2 linked regions of the Saccharomyces cerevisiae S288C genome follow. Changing the gene in region 1 together with any one later gene gives a genetic interaction. Each region holds a gene or a part of one and is shown on either strand. Other genes may lie near its edges.

Region 1 (5,987 bases):
TTTTCACTTTATATAGGTGAGAAAAATGGTGCAAGAGAGCATGACCGTGTATGGTGACATATAAATGGTTGTTGGCAGCGAATTTAACAACACTGCAGATGTAGATGTCGTAGCTATCCTTCTCACGTTGTTGAATGCTGACTATTTTGTTATTAAGCAACGCCTTGTTAGTGCTTGTTTTACAAAGCGTATTAAATGGTATTTTATTTATGCTATCGCTTTATTATCTTTATTTTCATCACGTAACACGGTGTGTGCGCCATATTAATGTTGCAACAGTCGTGAGGTGATTAACAAACAGTATCAGACTAAACTCACCCTTTGGTGATATGCAATTTCTTGAGGCGCAAAAGGTTGATCCTGAAAGCTTTTGTGATAGACTACCTTCAAGCAAAGCGAACGTAAACGGCAAAGATGGATACCAGCAACCACAACCAAGACCACGACTCCCACGTGGCGGCACAGAGGGAGAACGACAATAATTATATGCCACCTTCCCCCTCCATGAGCGAGAGTTCTATGATTTTTGAAAGAAATGTAGAGGACCCATCATACCTTTATAAAACGGTGTCAAACAACGCTGCAAACTCTCTCTCTAGGCAGAGCAGCAGGACCAGTTTGTTCAATCATAATAATTCTAGTAATAGGAACTTCCATAACTTAAGCCAGAGATCGTCTGCTGTGAATCTACATTTGCAACCTTCTAGGACTAATGAGTCAATAGCATCGTACCAGACATACAATCCGGATTTTGTTGTGCAGACTCCACTGGATCACCGTCGTACCTTAGAGAATTTCGTCCCTCCTGCATTAGACGCTGGCTGTTCTATTGTAACTGACGACACGACTGGCCTTGATGACGTTGATATGGTTTATTCGAGAAGGCCATCTACCATCGGCCTGGATAGAGCCCTAGGTAGGACAAGAAGTCTTTCGTCACAATCTTTTGATAACGAAACGTCGCCTGCGCATCCAAGATCTCCCAACGACCATGGTTCAAGACTACTAAGGTTTTATTCCTACGCTGACATGTTGTCCGATGACAACAATAACAACGTTAGTAATGCGACATCAACATCATCAACTGCGAACCCCTTGAGAAGACCCCCAATGCAAGGTCACTACTCGTTCTCGTCGTCCCTTTTGAATTCTCCTTCTCATTTGCCTTCCCCCCCATCAGCTTCGGCATCACCACCTCAGCATATGAACTTCACCAACCCTTTCATCATATCTAGACGTTACTCTAACACAACGATCAACAATGCCAATGGGGGAACCAGCGCTGGAAGCACTACGGGGGCCGCACTATCAAGATCGCCATCGAACCAACAGTACTTACTTAAACAACAAAGGTCACCTTCAGGGAGCGCCCGTTCAAGAAGAAACAGCAATAGGCCCGGCAGTGCTGCCAACATTATGATCGGGAAACCTAAATCCAAATTCCATATGGAATCCAGTGGCAGTGAAGGGTTTTCTTCCGAAGAGGAGGACAACACTATGATTGAAAGAGATAAACTCAATCTAAAGCAAAAATTGCAGTCACAACTGGCACAACCACCATCAATTGCCAACATGGTTAACGATAATCACAATAATACTAATAAACACAAGAATACTATTAATAATAACATCAAAAATAGCCCTGCGTTCACAAACTCGAATCCAAGTTCAAAATCAAATTCAAACTCTACAATAACCTCTATGAATCCAGACACAACCAAATAAAGAAAACTGAAGGGCCGCGATTGTTCATTTCTTCAACCTTCTTCTCCTACTCTAAAAATTCATTTAAGTCTCTTTTTTCCATATATATAGATATATAACGGTATTTTATGTATGCACGTATACCCCAATAATGCCACTAATTTACTCCGTTTTCCAATCCATAATCAGCAAAGACCATATGTGATTTCAAATATAAAAAATGAGAAACATGTGAATATGTATATATGTTATGCGGGAACCAACCCTTTACAATTAGCTATCTAACTAGTCCTTTTTCGAGCTCCAGAATTTACCATCACCCTTATCATTCCATTCTTTGAATTTGTTCTTGGCTTCATCGTACTTTTTCAACGCTTCATCGTACTTCTTTTGGGCCTCATCTTTTAAAGCCTGCTTGTCATTGTCGACCTTGGAAGTCCATCCAGACCACCAGTGGCTGCCGTACTGTTTCAAGTCCTCCTTCGCCTTAGATAACGAGTCCATGGCATCGGACACGTTCTTATCCAGTTGTTTCTTTGAATTCTCATAATTCCATCTTAAATCGTCCATTTCGTCCTTGGAAAGTTGAGCGGCTGTTTCACCCCATCCTTCTAAACCTCTGGCTACCCGTTCAGCAATCTGTTGCTCGCTTTGCTCCCCTTTGTTGTAACCAAACCAGCCCTTTTCCTTGATCTTCTTCAGCTCGTCAAGACGTTTTTGCGCCTCGCTTGGCTCTGAAGAAGCATTTCTCTTGGCTTCCTCCAACTCTTCTCTACCAAACTCCTGTGCCGTATCACCCCAGCCTTGGACACTTCTTGCAGCGGCTTCTTCAGTATTAGCGTCACCCGTGTTATTCTTCAACAGGCGTTTCAAAGGATTACTGTTCCTTTCCTGTTGGTCTAGCTTGTCCGAAAGCTCATTAAAGTCTCTGGCTCTCCCGTACCTTTCGTACTCAATGGATGCTCTGTCCAGAGCGGCCTTCTTCTCTCTCATCACCGTGGACAAGAGCTCCTTCTCATTACGATCCACTGCCTCTTCGAAACGCTTCTTAGCAGTATCAAATTCCCCGATGGCTATGGCTTTCCTTCTTTCAGCCTCACTAAACCCCCAATTGAAGATGCTTTGCGAGGAAGAATCCTTGGCTTTTTGGCCTAGCTGCTTGCGTGTCTGAGCATCCTCTTCCGGTGATATCACACGCTTAGTTACCTTTGGAGCCTCTTCCCTAGCCTTTTGAGATACGCCCAGAAGCGCGTCTTTTAACGACAAGGCATCTTCCTTTATGCCTTGCTTTATGTTATGTAGCTTTCCCAACTGTGGGGGTGCTGAACTGCCGTACTCCTGGCCGTTGTAGTAAGCGGAGACGTTGCCCTCTCTTCTCTGACCCTTGGCCTTCTGTTCTCTGACCATGATGCTAGCTGTGATGGCAGCTGCCAATGCTGCACTGCCGACAATTATTCTTGATGACATCCTTATCTGCTTGTTTTATTAAATGATTAACGTTACTGGCCAATCAAAAATACCCTTTATTTCAAGAAAGGGCAAAGAAGCAGGACTTTAGCAAGAACCGTTTCCCCTTATATATACTCCTCTTCAAGGAACTCGACAAAATAAGGGTCAACAAACTCCTCCCTTAACCCACACGGGCCACCGGCGAGCTTGTGCTCCTGCGAATAGCAGTACACTATTGGTTGTTGCAAATCCTGACGATTCACTTTCAAACACCATGCAGGCAGGAGAGTCAAACAAGACTGTTTGCTGTGTTATTGTCACCGCTGATGGTTGTGATGACCACCGCTTACCTATGACGAGGGGCAACGTCTTCACATTTCATGTTTACCACCAATATGCCAATTATTTTAAGAAATCTGCATAACAGAAGGACGCCAGCTGGCCATAGCATTTATAGATTCCTGCATTAATGTAACCGTCCGCACACCGTATGTATCAGCTTGTCAATTATTATATGAAATGTATATATATTTACGAACTTCAATTTTGTCAACATATTTCTGGAACAAGACTGGCTGGAACGGCTCAGCACACACAGGACAGAATATCAAAATTCTCGAGTACTTTGAGAACCCCCTTCAAGTGAGGTACCACCCTTGGTTGTAGTCTTGTATATTAATCCTTCTTTTCTTTAGTATAAATCGATCCTTTCTATTATACAATTCGCCGGTAATTTTTCAGTGAAAAACGAGTTTTGCAGTCAAACCATTCCTGGATGTGCTATACAAAAAAAAGGTCCGAAGACGTGTAAAGGATATATAACGCCAGGTTGATCATCACTAACCATCATGTCTGATAATTTGTTATCTTTAGAGAATCCGGTGGTGCCTAGTCACTATGAGTTGCGTCTAGAAATTGACCCTAAGCAGTCGTCGCCCAATTTCAAAGGATCCGCCATAATCCATTTGAAATTCAATCCGAACTCCACCACCTTAGCTTCTATCGAAGACAGTTTTACCCAGTTCAAGTTACATTCCAAGGATTTGATTGTGTTGTCTGCACATGCCACCATAGGGTCTACTAAGTTTGATCTAAAAATTTCTCAGGACACTGGAAAGCATTTGTCGATTTTCAACTCTGAATCTCCTATTCAATTGTCCAACGATTGCCCTCTGATTTTGTCCGTGCAATACGTGGGTAAAATTCGTGACATAAAAACACATCATGATAAGACTTTTGGTATTTTCAAAACCAATTTTATGGATCGTAAAACCGGTACTGCCAATAATCACGTCGTTGCTACTCACTGCCAACCGTTTTCCGCTAGCAATATTTTCCCATGTATTGACGAGCCTTCAAACAAGTCCACTTTTCAATTGAACATTGCAACGGATGCACAATATAAAGCCGTTTCCAATACTCCTGTAGAGATGGTCGAAGCTTTGGATAGTTCTCAAAAACATTTGGTGAAATTTGCCAAGACACCTTTGATGACTACTTCCGTATTTGGTTTTTCTATTGGTGATTTAGAATTTTTGAAAACGGAAATCAAGTTGGAAGGTGATAGGACTATTCCCGTTTCAATTTATGCACCTTGGGATATTGCTAATGCAGCTTTCACTTTAGATACAGTCCAGAAATATCTACCTTTGTTGGAATCCTATTTTAAATGTCCATACCCTCTGCCAAAGTTAGATTTCGTCCTACTACCATATTTAAGTGACATGGCAATGGAGAACTTTGGTATGATCACCATCCAACTAAACCACCTGCTCATACCACCAAATGCCTTGGCCAATGAAACCGTCAGAGAGCAAGCACAGCAACTCATTGTCCACGAACTCGTTCATCAATGGATGGGCAACTACATATCTTTTGACTCGTGGGAATCTCTTTGGTTTAATGAGTCTTTCGCTACTTGGTTAGCTTGCCACATACTAGAACAGAATGGTGACCTATCCCATTATTGGACCTCGGAACCTTATTTACTACAGCAAGTGGAGCCGACCATGTGCAGAGATGCAGCTGACGTTAATGGAAGAAGCATATTTCAGATTGCGCAACGGAACACTGGCATAGATTCTCAAACCTCCGATATTTTTGATCCTGAGGCATACACAAAGGGTATTATCATGCTGAGGTCCCTGCAATTGGCTACAGGCGAATCTCATCTACAAAAGGGCCTGGAAAGTGTATTTGAAGATACTAAAACATTTCATGCGAGAAGCGTCAAACCAATGGATATATGGAATCATATCGGAAAATTTTTGAAGTCTCAAAATATTACAAACTTTGTTTCATCTTGGACAAGAACGCCAGGCTTACCTGTCGTTAAGGTCGAAGTAGAAGAGAAAGACGGGAAAACGCAAACAAAATTGACTCAACACAGATTTATCAATCAATTATCTACTGAAGAAAAGGATCAGTTAGAAGATGTCCCATATCAGGTACCCTTATTCGGGGTTCTGCCAGATGGTAAAATGGATACTAAAAATGTACTATTGACGGATAGGACCTTAAAGTTCGATTATCCTATCTTAGTAATTAACCATTTAGCCCAAGGTTATTACCGCGTTTCATATGAGTCCGAAGAGTGCTATGCATTGATTAATGATAAAATAACTGAGGAGACGTTATCCGAGATTGACCTTCGGAAGATTTTCTTAGACTTGTCGCAGTTTATTGGAGATGAGGGTTTCCAGAATTCTATTCATTTGCACGGTCTCTTTAAGATACTAAACCATATCGCTTCTCCTTCCACAAAGATTGCATCAAAATATTGGGATCCTCTTTCCAAGGGGTTGGAAGTTCTGCAAACGATCGATCGTGCCAGT
Region 2 (3,090 bases), on another chromosome or scaffold:
TCTGCGAAAGAACTTGAGCCCGATCAATTAGTTGAACTTCTCGCTCAGGAAAAAGAAGAGAAAGAGGCAAAAAATATCAGCTCTTCAACTGCAGAAGTTCCATCGATATCGCAACCTGAAATAAAGAAGGAGAATCTCGAATCAAATGATTCCTTGATTTTAAGAAGCACGAAAAGAAATGTAAATGTCAATGCCGCTAGTTTGAGGAATCTTTCCATTAAAAAAACTCAAGTCAAACCGGAGTCTGCAAGTGAAGAAAGCAAAGTTCTTGCTGCAGCTTTAAATGATGCAAAACAAAACTTGGATGAAAACGTCTGGAGAACTCCTATCTAAAAAACAAACGAATATAGTTTGAACACTCATTCCATGTTCTATGCTTATTGTTGTACATTTATTATTTATATATTCTTAAATATATTTCGAGAGATCTATACATAAACATCAATTTATTATAATTCTACACAAAATTACATTTAAATATTAATGGCTTTCTTCAAAATTCAAAAATCTTTTTGAGAAAATTCATACTCCTTCAGATATTGGTTTCTTATCAACGCTTCAATTTTTTTCTCTTGAATATATATAATATCAGTATCGGTTAAAGCTTTAGAATAATCCGTCTCCATACATGATGTTTTCTCGAATGTAAATTCTGTCTCTTCCCAATCCAACATATATTCATAATCAAAGCAGTTTGTAAATAAATAACCGTCGAACCCCACAAAAATTGGTAATCTTTCAAGCCAGCTTTCAACTTTTTCGGAACAAGGCATGTTTTGTGTTGTCCGTGGACTGAAATATGTCGGAATTTCAAATCCATTATTCGAATTATGTAAAACACTCCAGTTACTAAACTTGACATCTTGGCAATTAACTTTTTCAATGTGATTTAAATAGGATAAATAAGGGTTTGGTAATGGTAGCGTACCGTGGGGATACAAATTTGGCAAACAATTGATTGAAGAAAGCTGTGGTGACATACTGTCAGTAACTCTTATTGGTTTTTCGTATGCAGGCCACTGTTCGTGTTGTCGTCTTCTTAACGCTGGATTGAACTCAGGAAATGTTGTATTCTGTATCTTCCCGCAATCTGGTGGTATCTTATTAATTATCTCAGCAATCGGAGAGCTTCGAAAGTTGTTCATTTTATTTAGCTTCGATGTTTTAGTCTCCTTCAGTTCCGGTGCGGAAAGCTGTGTGTAACCTTGATTCATTTCGATAAAATTTGCGTTTTTATAAAATTCCCAAAAATACTGACTATGGTAGAAAAGATTTCAACGAGGAAGGTGGTAAAGATCAATGAAGTATCTTCAATCATTATGTAGGTTATAAGTAAATGTTTTTGTTTTCAATTATGTTCCATAGTTTGTGGTAGTTTTTCTTTGAAAACGACTGTGTCGGCCAGAATTGCTGTCGCATCACCAAAAAAAAAAAAAAATGATACAAAGACTGGGGATGAATGTTACGTAAACAGGAAAAAAAATATGTCGAAGGAGAGAGAAAAAATATTTAACAAAGTGCATGCCTCTAAACGTCGTAATTGGTCTGGCTATGACAAACAAAAAAATCGATGTTAAAATGTTCCAACCGAGGATCGAACTCGGGACCTTTGCCGTGTGAAGGCAACGTGATAGCCGCTACACTATTGGAACAGACTTTTAATATTCTGAACTTTCTGCTTTACTAAACATCGTATTATTATACGAACATGAAACAATAATTAACAACAAATTCCAGAACTTGCGACCAGCTGTTAAATTCACAATCAGACCAATTTTTTACTCGACTTTTATTATATAATAGATTATATATATATATATATATATATCTCTTTTGCAGCTAAATGAAAGAAAAAAAAAGAAATGGCACATATCAAAAATAATCAATTCTCTCGTCTTCACACTTGTAGATATTTACAATAGAATCGTGAGAATTGGTGGCCGCAATCATCATTCTATGAGGATGGAAAGCCATCGAAGATAAAAATGCATCAGAAGTGGAAGAGTAGGACAGTGACTTTGGGATTCCCGTAGCGGCTAATGTACTTGTTACGCCATTATTATGTGAGTTTTTAAAAGAATTCAAAAGATCTCCAGATGTCGTCCATATCTTTATTTGTTTAGTCCCTGTCGCAATTATCGGAGCATGCTCATGAACCTGCATGCACGTCATTGTCGTTGGTTTTTGTTGCGAACCGTACTGAGAAGTTACGTTTTGATCAACAAACGATTCTACCGGATCTTCGGACCTTATATCCCATAACTCTACAACACCATTGGTAGCTCCACTGACCAATTCTCTGTAACCACCTCTTTGTAAATGAACATTGTTAATCCAAACTCCCTGCTTATCATTTCCAGCTCTCCAGCGACGTATCATGGAATCTCTTGGATCGAGACGGCGATCATATACTCTCAGGGAGCCATCTGCAAACCCTGCTACGAAGATATTACCTGCTAGCTGATCAGCCGTCAAGGATGTAATTAAAGATGATGTTTTTGCAGGAATGTCCACTTCAACCGTTTCTGTATGCGCATCCCAGACACGGATAACCTTAACATCACCAGTTGTTAACAATGATCCTCTTATTTGTAACCATTCGGTTAGTAAACCTGTGGATCTAGGTGTCAATAACATATCGGTCAAGCCTCTCCAGGCGGATACAATTTTAAAGGTGTCGACATCTTGGTAGTCTCTGTATATTTTGATAACACCGTCTGAAGAACCTGTCAATAAAAGGGCGGAGTCATCCTCGTTAATGAGTTTCAGGTCAGTAACTTTTGTGCCAAAAGGAGTACCATTGGAGAATTTGGACAAAGTCTTTCCTTTCTCCCAATCAAAAACTGTAATGGTACTTCTATCATCTGCAGTAATCAGCTGATCTTCAAACTGGGCAAACTTCATCAGTTTTGGTTGACTTTTGTTATTTAAACTAATCAATTTTTTGGACCAATTCCCATAAATCGATAATTTTTTCTCCCCCTGTGTTTCCTGGATAATAGTTTCATTTCTGTTACGTCTCCACAATCTAGCATTATACTCAACACTGCCAGGTTCATCCGCCTCTTGCTTTTTCATTTGTGGTTCTTG

The links.
Region 2: mutations in OM45 (region 1) and PFS1 together harm fitness more than expected from each alone (negative genetic interaction), as found in Saccharomyces cerevisiae (2 studies listed by BioGRID).

What each region holds. Positions count from the first base shown.
Region 1 is NC_001141.2:90,803-96,789, reverse strand, and holds OM45 (Om45p), read right to left. Parts: upstream 3,172-5,987; coding exon 1,990-3,171; downstream 1-1,989. Other genes in the region: YIL134C-A (uncharacterized protein), read left to right, coding at 65-268; VHS2 (Vhs2p), read left to right, coding at 415-1,725; TMA108 (Tma108p), read left to right, coding at 4,002-5,987.
Region 2 is NC_001140.6:474,127-477,216, forward strand, and holds PFS1 (Pfs1p), read right to left. Parts: upstream 1,215-3,090; coding exon 501-1,214; downstream 1-500. Other genes in the region: SSP1 (Ssp1p), read left to right, coding at 1-333; ubiquitin-binding TORC1 subunit KOG1, read right to left, coding at 1,873-3,090. UniProt on the Saccharomyces cerevisiae protein: Involved in the pathway that organizes the shaping and sizing of the prospore membrane (PSM) during sporulation. Required to localize MPC54 to all four spindle pole bodies, and localize DON1 and SPO14 to four prospore membranes.